3 linked regions of the Kluyveromyces lactis genome follow. Each later gene encodes a partner of the first gene's protein in a complex. Links are inferred from orthologs where the notes say so. Each region holds a gene or a part of one and is shown in the gene's direction. Other genes may lie near its edges.

Region 1 (4,732 bases):
AAGCCATAGATTATCATATTTTTTTGCGCTGGATAAAAGTTCATCAATGTTTGCTCTTGTATAAATGGCATCTATTGGAGCTGAGACAATGGCTTGTGCAGCACCTGCAAGGAATCCTGCTCTTAAAAAATCAAACATATTATGTTGAAAAGCTTGATCTGTAGCCCTCAACGGAAAATTATTCAAAGTGGCTAAATAAGTAGTGTATAGCACAACTCCCGCCAGCGAATTGGCTACTAATGGCGGTAAAATTCTGTCAGGTATGACTTTCCAACCATATCTGTTCAATGCTTTAGTGACGATTCCGATTGAAGAGTTCTCCAAATAATAAGTATACTTTGGATTCCAAAACCGATACCTCGAACTTCGTACTTTTGTCTCGGACTGTGTATTATCGCTACCTGTAAGAAGTACTCGAATGTAATGAGTATAGTCAAATCTAGCTGGTCTGAACAATTTTAACGGAGTCCTCATGTAAAAAGATGTTAGTTGATACACCATAGATCTTCCACCAGCAGTAGCAGCACCCACAAGAGAAGAGGTTTGGTTTGATAATGAATTGACATTTGCTTTATCTGAAACATCTTCCAATCTCTTGTTGGCATCAGAAGACATCACTGTCTCTTCCCCTTAATGATCACTTGAACAAAACTCCGATAGGGTATAGTCAATATGTGAAACTGGACACTATATCAAAGCAAAAAGTAGTGTTGGATGCTAAATGGGATCGTTTTATTTAGGTTCTATCGAGGAGAAAAAGCGACAAGAAGAGATAGACCATGGATAAATGATTATGTTCTAAACACTCCTCAGAAGCTCATCGAACTGTCATCCTGCGTGAAGATTAAAATCCAACTTAGAAATTTCGAGCTTACGGAGACAATCATATGGGAGAAGCAATTGGAAGATAGAAAAAAGGTACTCGGTACATAAATATATGTGATTCTGGGTAGAAGATCGGTCTGCATTGGATGGTGGTAACGCATTTTTTTACACACATTACTTGCCTCGAGCATCAAATGGTGGTTATTCGTGGATCTATATCACGTGATTTGCTTAAGAATTGTCGTTCATGGTGACACTTTTAGCTTTGACATGATTAAGCTCATCTCAATTGATGTTATCTAAAGTCATTTCAACTATCTAAGATGTGGTTGTGATTGGGCCATTTTGTGAAAGCCAGTACGCCAGCGTCAATACACTCCCGTCAATTAGTTGCACCATGTCCACAAAATCATATACCAGTAGAGCTGAGACTCATGCAAGTCCGGTTGCATCGAAACTTTTACGTTTAATGGATGAAAAGAAGACCAATTTGTGTGCTTCTCTTGACGTTCGTTCGACTGATGAGCTATTGAAACTTGTTGAAACGTTGGGTCCATACATTTGCCTTTTGAAAACACACGTTGATATCTTGGATGATTTCAGTTATGAGGGTACTGTCGTTCCATTGAAAGCATTGGCAGAGAAATACAAGTTCTTGATATTTGAGGACAGAAAATTCGCCGATATCGGTAACACAGTCAAATTACAATATACATCGGGCGTTTACCGTATCGCAGAATGGTCTGATATCACCAACGCCCACGGGGTTACTGGTGCTGGTATTGTTGCTGGCTTGAAACAAGGTGCGCAAGAGGTCACCAAAGAACCAAGGGGATTATTGATGCTTGCTGAATTGTCTTCCAAGGGTTCTCTAGCACACGGTGAATATACTAAGGGTACCGTTGATATTGCAAAGAGTGATAAAGATTTCGTTATTGGGTTCATTGCTCAGAACGATATGGGAGGAAGAGAAGAAGGGTTTGATTGGCTAATCATGACCCCAGGTGTAGGTTTAGACGACAAAGGCGATGCATTGGGTCAGCAGTACAGAACCGTCGACGAAGTTGTAAGTGGTGGATCAGATATCATCATTGTTGGCAGAGGACTTTTCGCCAAGGGTAGAGATCCTAAGGTTGAAGGTGAAAGATACAGAAATGCTGGATGGGAAGCGTACCAAAAGAGAATCAGCGCTCCCCATTAATTATACAGGAAACTTAATAGAACAAATCACATATTTAATCTAATAGCCACCTGCATTGGCACGGTGCAACACTACTTCAACTTCATCTTACAAAAAGATCACGTGATCTGTTGTATTGAACTGAAAATTTTTTGTTTGCTTCTCTCTCTCTCTTTCATTATGTGAGATTTAAAAACCAGAAACTACATCATCGAAAAAGAGTTTTAAACCATTACAACCATTGCGATAAGCCCTCTCAAACTTCCTCCAGACTGTTTGTCATCCAATTGGTAAGATTAATTATCATATACCCCGGATAAGAAAAGAAGCAAGCACACAATGGATCAACTTAATGGTAAGGAACAACAAGAGTTCCAAAAAATCGTGGAACAAAAGCAAATGAAGGATTTCATGCGTCTATACTCCAACTTGGTCGAAAGATGTTTCAGCGACTGTGTCAACGACTTCACATCCGCTAAGCTTACTTCTAAGGAACAAAACTGTATAATGAGATGTTCAGAAAAGTTCTTGAAACACAGTGAACGTGTGGGTCAACGTTTCCAAGAGCAAAATGCTGCCATGAATCAAACCATGGGTCGTTAAAAGGTTTAAAGAAGAAATTCTCCCTACCAACCTCAAATTTTATTCTGTACATACTTCATTATATTATAACATTATATTATAACATTATATCATAACATTTTATCGTAGCTACTACGATTACCATAGATTTTAAGGACTATCTCTCCCATGTATATTCATTCTGTTTCTGTATATAGAAAGGTTTGCATTTCATTGCCATATGACTGGCCAAAAAAAGATGCTCCTCAGACACAAGGTAATCGGTATTGTGTTATCTGCGTAAGTTGCAGACTCCCTGCATTGCACTCAACTAGGCATTGTCGTAAATGACAAGCTAAACTGTCCGTCCGTTGTCCCTCCCATGTCACGTGGTCTCCATTAGAGAAGAACTGGCGACTTGATTTATTATAACAACGACAATAGGGCTCAAGCTGAAGTTCCATTAGAAACAACCTTCTCACGAAGCGAAAATCCCGTTAGGGATTTGCTTGATTATAACTCACCGGGGGTTTGAACCCTCGGCGAGCGGACAGCTGCGTTCCACCGAATTTCCCACCTGGAATGAGGAGAACAACTCCTCTGATCAAGTAGAACATTCAAATCACATGACCTCTTCTCAAAACACTTCAAAGTAACGAGCATCCACCTTATACTTAAGAGTGAATATTCTTTGAAGCGCTTCAAGGGCTTAGTATGAAGTTGAGAACAGGAAATGAATTGCCATATTTGATCTTTTTGTAACCAGGTTCATATGAACAGAGACTTTGTGTTCTGAGGAAGATTCGAACCGAAGTCGCAACGTGGCCTTTTTACCAGCTACGGCACAACACCCGACTCAAACCAATTACGAATTCATTCAGTAGTAGACCCTGTCACGTGTGTGTCAGGTGTCATTTCCGTAGTTCAGAGTATCATCCACGAGGCCAAGGACGAGAATATAATTAAACTTATGTAAATTATCAACTCCCTATAACTCATCATCTGTGAGCATCAATTCATCGTCAGCTAATGGCGTGAATTGAGGACCTACTTCAACAACGGCAGGTCTCACAAACCCGCCGTAATTCTTTTTTACTGGTCCGAAATACTTCGTTCCTTGGAATGTACCATTGTTCTTACCGTCAGGTTCGTCAAATTCAATTCCACACCATACATCTGTATTACTGATCTCTTGAACTTTTCCCACGTATCGTAACCATCCTCTTCTTTCGGGGACCTTGGTGGAATCGGTCGTTGTTTCCTCGTTGGACAGTACTCTGCATCTTTCTCCAACGTGTTTTTGTAATAGTTCTGCCTTATCGATATTCAGTTGTAGTTGTTCTTCCATCTTAGAGCGGTATTCAGGATTAAATTTCCCTAACTTGTTATCTTTTTTCCATTGTAATACAGAATCCCTTCTGTTCTCATAATCGTCCATGGTGTATCGGAACGAAACGTCATCGCTATTAGCATGTAGCAAATCATTTTTCAATTGGCTTGCTAAACTGTTTTCGTTGGTGTCTATCACTTTTATGGACTGGATTTTCTCTACTTTCTGGTCTTTGAGATCTTTCAAATACTTGCTGTTCTGTGCATTGCCATTTATCACCAATTTCATGTCTTGAACATCAACACCGGTCAATTCGTTCAATCTTTGGCCCAGATGGTCCCATGATGTACCAGGTTTCACAAAGATCTGAGTGTTAACCAAATCGGATATAATTTCCACGTCAGATGACATTATCGGTGCTGATATATCCTCTGTTTTATTTTGTCTTCGATGCTGTAAGTTCAATGTTTGTCGTTTTGTCCAGGCATGTTTGAACATCGAATTTTTCAATGTTCCGTAAACTTAAATGAAAAGTTAATTTGAAACCAGTAACACACTTTGACAATAACCCATTGAGCAAACAGCGCTACCCCACCCAACCAACTACTAATAATGAGCGAAGCAGTATGTTAACTACTATAATTAGGACGGCTTTCTAAAACTTCTTCAACTTTCTCAAAACAATGATCCATTCTACATTTTAAGTTCAAATTTACTAACAGTTAGAGAGTTTATACATTCCCCTTCTCTGCAGAGGCAATCACAACAACCGAGACAAGAGCAGAAGAAGAAGTTCGAAGGCCCAAAGCGTGAGTCTATCATAAATCTTGCACAAT
Region 2 (4,485 bases), on another chromosome or scaffold:
GATGGCTTGGATCCAAAGGTGGGTTACAGCAAGCAAAATGGAAAGATTTTGGACAAGTGTCACAGCATAAGAACACCCCAGGACCATGACAGTTGGAACAAAAATCGTCATTTTCCTTGTTATTATCCGGATCAATTTCTGGAATATGTAAATGAGAAGCTTTATCATTTTGTCCAAATAACTTGGTATCTTTATCCTTGGTAGATTTCAACCTTTTCGCCATTTTTAGTGCTATCGATTTACTGGGCGAATTTCGTATAGGATCCTGTAGCATAAAATCCGAGTCAGCCTCTTGTTTAATTCCTGAATTTTTGTTGTGTTTAGTGGGAGTGTTCGCTCCTATGCGTTCATGACTTTGTACGGTCAATTCATTTGATTTTTCAGTTTGTAGTTGTCCCTCATATTTAGCCTCCATGCTGCTCTTTAATGCCTGTAATATATTGGATTTCTTCTTCTTATTGTTACCATTTCTGTGTTTACCACTTCTATTATTGCTATCATCATTGTCGTTATTATTGATGTTATTGGTACTATTATTATTGTTACTGTTGTTGTTACTCGATCCCTTCGGCTTCTGAGATAATGGCGTCCCTGTCATAGCATTTATTGGATCATGCACTGGCGGCTCCTGAAACGTTATATTTCCATTACTATCCTTAAGAATGACTGGTCCAATAGGTTCTGTCGATGGTTCTTGGGACGGTGATGAAGATATTGAGGATGTACTTTTCGTTGGATAATCATCACTTGGAATAATCCGTCTCTTTTTCAGATTATAATCCACATTGGCAGTACCTGACCGTTTGGGCCTCGTTACCTCCATATTTTTTGTCATGAAGCCGGAAAGTAGATGTACTGGCACGTAATTTTTTTAGCCGGTACTTTCCCCTACTCGTTGTTTCGCGTTGAACCATAATTTAATTCAATTGTTAGATGCGTTCAATTAAATTTGTATCGCACTTTTTTATTTTTTTTCTGTATTCCAATATCACGAACCTTCGATAGTTGAAGTCGTATACACATACCAGCTATATCAATGATAATGGAATCAAAATGTATATAGTTACGGGAACAGGCTGAGGCGTCACCAGTCACATTAAAATAATAGAAGCAACCATGGACGACGAATTGAGAGCCATTAGAGAGGCCAGATTGAGGGAATTGAAGCAACAAAGTGGAGGAACATCAGAATCAGCAAACAACGGATCGAATGATGGTCAAACACAAGCGATATTGAATCAGATTTTGGATTCCAATGCACAAGAAAGATTGAGCAGGGTAGCGTTGGTGCGGCCAGAACGTGTAAAGGCAGTAGAAGCTTATTTACTACAAATGGTGCGGTCCGGTGCTATTAGAAACAAATTAACAGAGCAGGACATCGTTGGAATCCTCGAATCAGTCGGAAGAGATGAGCAAAAGCGCAATACTACACGTATTATATTCGATAGAAGAGAAAAAGGAACAGCATCATCTAGTGTGGATCAAGATGACGATGAAGACGATGATTTCTTTGACTAGTTATCTGTCTTCAATATATCAGGTTTTAACAGAGAAAGAAAGTAAGATATACATGCATATATAATTACAACGAATGAGAACTCAATCCTCATAAGTACCAAATAATTGCAAGAATCGGTAGTTCCAAAGGTTCAATGACTACTATAGGTCAATGCTCCCTCTGTCAAATCAATACATGTCCAAATCACGTGCATGTGACCGGGTAACGTATATTTCCTCATATTTCTGAAAATTTTCAGTATAGCAACTATTCGTCAGGAATTGCAGTTCACTAAAATTTAACTAATAGCAGTTAAATGCGTTGACAACTAGACTGTTGTTTGATCTGTAAATATTTATTGACGTAGTTTATCGTAGTGATTAGTCTTCTATTCATAGCCACAGGAATACCACTCCTACAATAACAACATATAAAAATCATCTTCTAAGAAATGTTCGGTCTAGGCGGTCAACCTCAATTATCTTCTCAACAAAAGCTATCAGCAGCTGAAGCTGAACTAGATTTGGTTACTGACATGTTCAACAAGTTGGTCGACAACTGTCACAAGAAATGTATTGAACAAATTTATAACGATGGTCAACTAAACAAGAACGAATCTACTTGTATCGACAGATGTGTTGCCAAGTACTTTGAAACTAACGTTAAGGTTGGTGAAAACATGCAACAGCTAGGCCAAGCTTTCTCTCCAGGTAAATTCTAAACCCGATGAGGGAAGCTTAAGCCGGGACGTTAGTGCATAATCTTTTTCGCAACTTTTCACGTTTTATCATGTACATATATGACAAATTTTGTATATACAAATATATTATATATATATATTAATTATCTATTTACAGAGTTTTAAAAATGAGGTAATGTCGGAGTACCAAACGATTAGGTTTGTGTATCTCGATCAAACCGATAAATATAGAGATATAAATGTATTTGCTAATACCGTGATGTGTTTTTGTCCATTATCTTCCCTTAGGATTGAAAATTTGGACGATCCCTTCTGTCTTTAAAATCCTAGCATTTTCATAACGCGTAATTTACAACCTTCAAAAGTATTCACTTTTGGTCTAACGTCCAAATATATTGGAGGAAGGTGGTTCTTTTCAGGTTCTGGATTCGAATAGAAGTCGATGACATAATCTATTTGTTTCCCGCAGCGATCGACGACCCAATCGTGCCTATCAAAAGGTTTGGTCATTCCAAGGATTGAGGATCTAAACCATGCTCTTGGGGTTAACTTCTTTGAATCGCCTTTGAAACTAGTCAATTTGATGCCACCACAGACATCTCCCCCTTGTCCGTCTTCCCAAATTTTGATATAATTCCATACTCTTTCATTAACGGAATTGTGGATGGGAACAACGGCTTTCATATCCACAGCTTCGGGATCCCAATTTTTTCTCTTCATTGCCTCGAAGAATTGCTTCTCTGATGGATAAACCCAATTATCCGATGTTCCGGTTCTAGGAATGGAGGATTTCTCTCTCTCTGTTGGCAAATTAACAGCTGTGGTATATTTCGGGTGTTCAGGTATCTCATCACTTGAACATTCGACATCCTCAGTGATGATCGATATGATTGGTGCTGGTGCTGCTGCAACTGCAGCACCGCCAGCAGAGCCATTAACGGTCTGTAGATGGTTTTTCAGCCATACATCCTGGGAAGAATGGTCTACCGGACAAACTCCTGACCCTTCAGAACTAGCCGGTGGATGATTTGGAGGTAGTGCTTTTGCTGATTCATTCTTATTATTAGTGCTCTGTTGTTTCAACCACACTTCCTTCGTGGAGTCATCCACAGGACACTTAGGCTGTTCTGGCATTCTTTTGCACTCCACAGTTAGCTTCTAAACAGTCGCGAATCCCCTTTAAGCCGCCAACGATGTTGCTTCTATATTTCGAACTATTGCGTTCAAGCCTATCCTGATGAAATGCGCATGAATAAGCTTTCCTGTATTCGCATGTTCTGCATACTTTTCCATTTCATTCATTTCTTTTCAATTGATATCAAATTGATGAAGTTTCAGAATGAAATTGATATCCACGGGAGATGACATTTCATTACCCGAATGTGCGACAAACATCCTTGTTTCTCACGTGACTTGACCTCCAGATGGAGACAGCTCTCCGTTGTACATAGCAATCGATCTTGCAGCCACCGTTAACATATTGTGGTGCAGTAATTACCTGCAGAGCGACTTCAACCTAAATCTGAAACAGGGACGTTGCTAGGAATGTTTTTTAAAAGGAAGCAAACCCTTAAACAGTGTCAAGTGCTTGTTTGTTTTTTACTTGCTTGTTTTATTTTCCAATTGAGCTTGATTTTAGTTGTCGTCTCTGTGAGATTTCTAGGGTATCTGAGTTGAGGTTCTTGACTCAAAGCTTCATCATGTTTTGAGGTTCCTATGATAAAGGCTATGCAATGCTAAATCAGGAATGTAAAGTAAATATTGCTACGTTACCTTTTAATATTAACATATATATAGACGGATTGGCCACATCGTGCCAACTACGGCGAAAACGTGAACTATAAAGGAAAATGAAACAAATGAAAGAAACTGACGCTGGCCGGCAAGAAATTAAGCATTATGGGTTGCGTCGCAAGTACAGGAAACTATGAGAACGAGGATGATCCCTTCATTCAAAATAAAAGGGCAAATGATCTCATTGAGCAAAATTTACAGCAGGAAAGGAATAAGAATAAGAATGAGGTGAAGCTCCTTCTATTAGGAGCAGGAGAAAGCGGTAAATCAACAGTGTTGAAACAAATGAAACTCCTACACCAAGGCGGATTTACCCATAGAGAACGAATGCAATATGGACAAGTCATCTGGGCAGATGCAATTGAGTCGATGAGAACGCTAATCTTACAAGCAGGCAAGTTGGGCATCGAATTGGATAGTGATTTGAAAAATGCACATTCGGGGCAATTGGTGAATACGGAATTACACCAATGCAAAGAGAAGATCTTCCGTG
Region 3 (4,953 bases), on another chromosome or scaffold:
CTGTTGCATCAGAGACACTTGCAAAATATTTAACTAATTGGGCTCAACTAAAGGAATTGAACTTGAACGATTGTTTGTTGAAGGGTCCTGGTTCTCATGCAGTCTTGAAAGTTTTGAAGGAGAATAAATTCGACGATTTAGAAACTTTGAAGTTGCAATACAATGAATTAACTCAACAGAGTTTAGAACATTTATTAATTCCTGCTTTACAAGATGGTAACTTACCATCATTGAAATTGTTGGAATTGAATGGTAATAGATTAGAAGAGGATTCCGATCCTTTATCGATATTACCTACTTTGTTCGACGGCGAATTAGATGAATTGGATGATTTGGAAGAAATTGACTCCGAAGAAGAGGAAGAAAGTGAAGACGAAGACGCCGAGGAAGAAGACGTGTGGGAACCAACACAATTTGTTAAGGATGAAACCGTCGATGAATTGGCATCCGAATTGGCAAAAACTCATTTAGAATAAATAAACTAATACTTATTGATCCTTGCATAAATGACGTCCTACATTCCAATTTCCTGTTGTAATGTAATAAATAGCTAAAACCTGAAACAGAACTCATTATATTTCTCGCAATACCATCAACCCGGAATGTACACATACAATATTGTATCATTTTTTAGACTATCTCCACGTTCAATTCAAAGGTATCTATCAATTTATCCTTAGCACACCACTGGGTTTCTAGCCAACTTTCTAGTTGTTTGGGTTTCTTTTTAGTGAGTTTATCAACATCATGGTACGATGCGTGGATGCATAGTATCATTGGTGATTCCAACGACCATATGTCCCATAGAGCTGGAATTGTTTGCTCCAACTTATACTCACCCATTGAGTTCAACGTGATCTTGTAATAAACCAAAGTTAAATCTAGTAACTTCATTGAGTCACGTAATATCGGTTCTGTCGGAAGAATAAGGTACTCCAACATGCGACACCATTTTCTGTCATTGCTGTTTGAAAAAGCTTTGATCAGATTTACGAAAGTACCAAATCTGGGGTATAGAACGTTATGCAAAACAGGTAATCCTTTGTATTTCAATTTCATTAACTTTCTTTCAATCAATTTAACTTCTGGTGTGAAGATATTCACCTCGGGAAATATTACCAAATTCTCAGGCCCATAAAACTTCTTAATCTTTGATACCGAAACGTTGTCATTCTCATCATGCCTGAATATTGTCCAAAAATGCTTAAAACTGGGATACTTCATTAAACGAGTCCAACCTGCGAAAATTACATTTTCAGCTCCGAACTGGGATTGAATCAAAGTATAATCGATAATTGATCTATGGTTGCTTAGTATTAGTTGGTTCTTACATTTTGTGTTGATTGTTTCCCCCTCGTAAATAATTTGGATATCTTCTCTTAGCACACTCCATATAATGAATTCATTAATCCATATATTAACCATGGTTTGAATCTTCTCAGTTTTCATAATACCCCTGTAATAATACTTTGATGAAATGATTCTGGACCATTGATTCATATACCATATCCACCCTGCTAGCACTGACTGAAGTATGAAAAGTATAAACAAAAACCATGAATAGGCCACACATTTTATAAGATGCTTGTCTTGTATCGAAAACCATGGTCCCGTGACATTTGTTTGCAACGTACTCAGTACAGACATGGTTTACTAGTTCTTCATCCTAACAGAAAACGATTGTAATGGATCGTTTTCTAGCTAGTTAGGAACAGTTTCTGTGTTTATTCCACACTGACACAGACTTTTTAACCATTTTGTTTTGTCGCATGACAAACAGTTTCAAGTGAAAAATAGGAAAACGTAAACAGTACGACCATCGTTTAGTTTACATTAGAAAAACTTGTCACCGATACATTGTAATTAGAATGTAAATTTTACGATTGAATTAATTCATAGAGCCTCTAACAGAAACCACTACCGCTATAACTGCCTTTCTGGTTATTCTGCATCTTCTGTATTCTTTTCAGATCTCATCAATTTTGCTCCAATCTCATTATCGATGATGAAGTGAAAAATGAAATATTTTTTGACTAAGCTCATCTCATCACTTCGCATACATCGAAAAGTACCTGAAAAGTAAGGATGGCAGCCAAGACGACATAATGATTGCCAGATCAATGATAAACAAGCCACTTCCAGTCATGTTAAGAACTTCTTTGCTTCATCGTCAGTTGAGAGGTATCAGGCTACCAGCTGTTTTTAGTTCCAGTAAGTTTGCGAAGTACAAGTTAATCCCACCACCTCCAGGCGGAGTTACCGGAAACGTAAACGATAACTTACCAAAGACAGAACCGAATTGGTTCCATGGGTCGTATCACTGGGATTATGAACGTATCACTGCAGTGTCGTTAGTTCCTTTGACAATGGTTCCTTTGTATGGAGCTATGTCTTCTGCTACCTTTGCATCAGGTTTCCCCTTCCCAGTGATTGATTCTCTATTGGCCAGTACAATACTAATACATGCGTACTTAGGTATAACAAGTTGCATTATTGACTATATCCCTAAGAGAAAATTCGGATTCTGGCACAAGGCTGCTAAATTCGCTTTGGCACTTGGAAGCTCCTTCAGTCTTTACGGAATTTATGTTTTAGAAACGGAAAATAACGGACTAATAGATTTGGTCTCTACTCTTTGGGATAAAGATAAGGGGGATTCGAGAGCATATGTATTTGGAAGGTTTTAGTGTGGTACTCTGTCCAAGCAATATGTAATTCATCGGAGAATTGACCTCCAAGCAGATTAGACTCTCATTTATTTATTATCATTATTATTTATTAGTGCTACATCTAGTGTTATTTATTCTTACCATAGTCTTAATTTAGTCTTTGAGTCTGATGATTCAGCTGGTCCTTTTCCTCGCCAAAAGTTCAAACGGGGTAAAGCAATCTAACTTTGAATAGACCATTTTGGGTATTTTGCTGTTCGTTTTTTTGCCCATGATTACATGCGTTTAAAGTTGTTGATCCAATCTCATTGTAACTGCCTTTTTTGGCAATCACATAGATTACAGCCGGTTTGACACAATTTAATGAAATAAAATCCTGAATGCAAAAGACTTTGCATTCGTCTCTGCTGAAGAAAAACCGCCTCAAGTTGAGGAGATTACTAAATGTGCTTTGGGTTTGAAACTTATTGAGGTTTTTTTTTTTTCATTCCTTCATGAAACTTATTCATGTCAAGAGAACATACTTCAAAAGTGACTATATAAAGGCACCTCTCTGTGATACAAGGTGAGATTGAGAGACTCAATGTTGATTTGACATCCTTCAAATTTTTACGTCAAAGTACCCTTAATGTTTTGACAATAAGCATTAACTTATTTAACATGTCAGAAGAGATACCCAGTTTGAACCCATTGTTCTACAATGAGACATATAATCCATTGCAGTCCGTCCTAACATACAGTTCAATTTACGGAGATGGGACTGAAATAACATTTCAACAGCTACAAAATCTTGTCCATGAAAACATCACCCAAGCAATTATTTTTGGAACAAGGATCGGCGCTGCTGGATTAGCGTTGATTATAATGTGGATGGTCTCTAAGAATAGAAAGACGCCGATATTCATAATAAATCAGAGTTCTTTGGTTCTTACAATTGTTCAATCTGCTTTATATCTATCATATTTGTTGAGCAATTTTGGAGGAGTTCCCTTTGCTCTAACTTTGTTCCCACAGATGATAGGCGACCGTGACAAACATCTTTACGGTGCCGTGACTCTAATTCAATGTCTATTGGTTGCGTGTATTGAGGTCTCGTTAGTCTTTCAGGTAAGAGTCATTTTCAAAGCAGATAGATATAGGAAGATAGGAATCATTTTGACTGGCGTCTCCGCTAGTTTTGGTGCTGCAACTGTAGCCATGTGGATGATTACTGCAATAAAATCTATTATTGTAGTGTATGATAGTCCATTGAACAAAGTTGACACATATTATTACAACATAGCAGTTATTTTACTTGCATGTTCAATAAATTTCATCACTCTTCTTCTATCAGTGAAACTTTTCCTGGCTTTCAGAGCTAGGAGACATTTAGGTTTGAAACAATTTGACTCATTTCACATTCTACTCATCATGTCTACTCAGACATTAATAGGTCCATCGGTTTTGTATATTCTCGCCTACGCGCTGAACAATAAAGGAGTTAAGTCGTTGACTTCTATTGCTACATTGCTTGTAGTTCTTTCCCTACCTTTGACATCTATCTGGGCTGCTGCTGCAAATGATGCACCAAGTGCCAGTACTTTCTATCGCCAATTCAACCCTTACTCTGCACAAAATCGTGATGATTCATCATCCTACTCTTATGGTAAAGCCTTTAGTGACAAATACTCTTTCAGTAACTCACCACAAACTTCGGATGGTTGTAGTTCAAAGGAACTTGAACTATCTACACAGTTGGAGATGGATTTAGAGTCTGGCGAATCTTTTATGGATAGAGCAAAAAGGTCCGATTTTGTTTCTTCTCCAGGATCAACAGATGCAACAGTGATTAAACAATTGAAAGCTTCCAACATCTATACCTCAGAAACAGATGCTGATGAAGAGGCAAGGGCATTTTGGGTGAATGCAATTCATGAAAACAAAGATGACGGTTTAATGCAATCGAAAACCGTATTCAAAGAATTAAGATAAACACTGTGTCTCTGGTTTCTAGTTTTTTACGTTCTGTTGAGCTCTATCATACCAATCATATATTTTAGTAAGGTATACATATAGCAGCTCATAGTATCTGCTGGTTCTTTAATTTCATTTAATTATACTTTAGAATTACTCTTTATCGATTAGTTTCATAATATTGTTAGGAAGAATAAGACCCCATTAAGGATATTGGAAATGTGGTAGACCCAGTATAAATTTCTTATGCCGTACATGAAAGAATAAAAGGATAAATATCCTAGAATTGAGACAACGATCAGCCAGTTCATTCTGTTCTTGATTATAGGAA

What was found. Proteins that work in one complex are often made in the same cells at the same time.
Region 2: the proteins of TIM9 (region 1) and TIM10 are in contact, whole or in part, in a cryo-EM structure (PDB 6LO8), measured with the Saccharomyces cerevisiae proteins. The link is inferred for Kluyveromyces lactis from reciprocal best matches to the Saccharomyces cerevisiae genes TIM9 and TIM10. Residues at the interface, in NP_010894.1 of Saccharomyces cerevisiae: Glu17, Gln18, Gln20, Met21, Phe24, Met25, Tyr28, Ser29, Asn30, Leu31, Val32, Glu33, Cys35, Phe36, Thr37, Val40, Asn41, Asp42, Phe43, Thr44, Thr45, Ser46, Lys47, Leu48, Glu52, Gln53, Ile56, Met57, Ser60, Glu61; in NP_011869.1 of Saccharomyces cerevisiae: Gln16, Gln20, Leu28, Lys35, Asn39, Lys43, Cys61, Arg64, Cys65, Ala67, Lys68, Tyr69, Glu71, Thr72, Asn73, Gln75, Val76, Gly77, Asn79, Met80, Met83, Phe87.
Region 3: the proteins of TIM9 (region 1) and TIM18 are in contact, whole or in part, in a cryo-EM structure (PDB 6LO8), measured with the Saccharomyces cerevisiae proteins. The link is inferred for Kluyveromyces lactis from reciprocal best matches to the Saccharomyces cerevisiae genes TIM9 and TIM18. Residues at the interface, in NP_010894.1 of Saccharomyces cerevisiae: Asp42, Thr44, Thr45, Ser46, Lys47, Leu48, Thr49, Asn50, Lys51; in NP_014940.4 of Saccharomyces cerevisiae: Val105, Asn107, Pro108, Glu165, Thr166, Lys167, Asn168, Asn169, Lys177.

The regions. Positions count from the first base shown.
Region 1 is NC_006041.1:2,033,773-2,038,504, forward strand, and holds TIM9 (protein transporter TIM9), read left to right. Parts: upstream 1-2,344; coding exon 2,345-2,608; downstream 2,609-4,732. Other genes in the region: KLLA0_E22749g (uncharacterized protein), read right to left, coding at 1-615; URA3 (orotidine-5'-phosphate decarboxylase), read left to right, coding at 1,223-2,026; ALF1 (Alf1p), read right to left, coding at 3,555-4,307; Sm-like protein LSM7, read left to right, coding at 4,509-4,520, 4,651-4,732. UniProt on the Saccharomyces cerevisiae protein: Mitochondrial intermembrane chaperone that participates in the import and insertion of multi-pass transmembrane proteins into the mitochondrial inner membrane.
Region 2 is NC_006042.1:2,402,500-2,406,984, forward strand, and holds TIM10 (protein transporter TIM10), read left to right. Parts: upstream 1-1,949; coding exon 1,950-2,219; downstream 2,220-4,485. Other genes in the region: RCO1 (Rco1p), read right to left, coding at 1-835; SDD2 (Sdd2p), read left to right, coding at 1,117-1,518; cytochrome c1 heme lyase CYT2, read right to left, coding at 2,517-3,332; GPA1 (guanine nucleotide-binding protein subunit alpha), read left to right, coding at 4,098-4,485. UniProt on the Saccharomyces cerevisiae protein: Mitochondrial intermembrane chaperone that participates in the import and insertion of multi-pass transmembrane proteins into the mitochondrial inner membrane.
Region 3 is NC_006042.1:2,330,159-2,335,111, forward strand, and holds TIM18 (Tim18p), read left to right. Parts: upstream 1-2,105; coding exon 2,106-2,687; downstream 2,688-4,953. Other genes in the region: GTPase-activating protein RNA1, read left to right, coding at 1-476; MUM3 (Mum3p), read right to left, coding at 631-1,647; alpha-factor pheromone receptor STE2, read left to right, coding at 3,330-4,640; BST1 (Bst1p), read right to left, coding at 4,796-4,953. UniProt on the Saccharomyces cerevisiae protein: Component of the TIM22 complex, a complex that mediates the import and insertion of multi-pass transmembrane proteins into the mitochondrial inner membrane.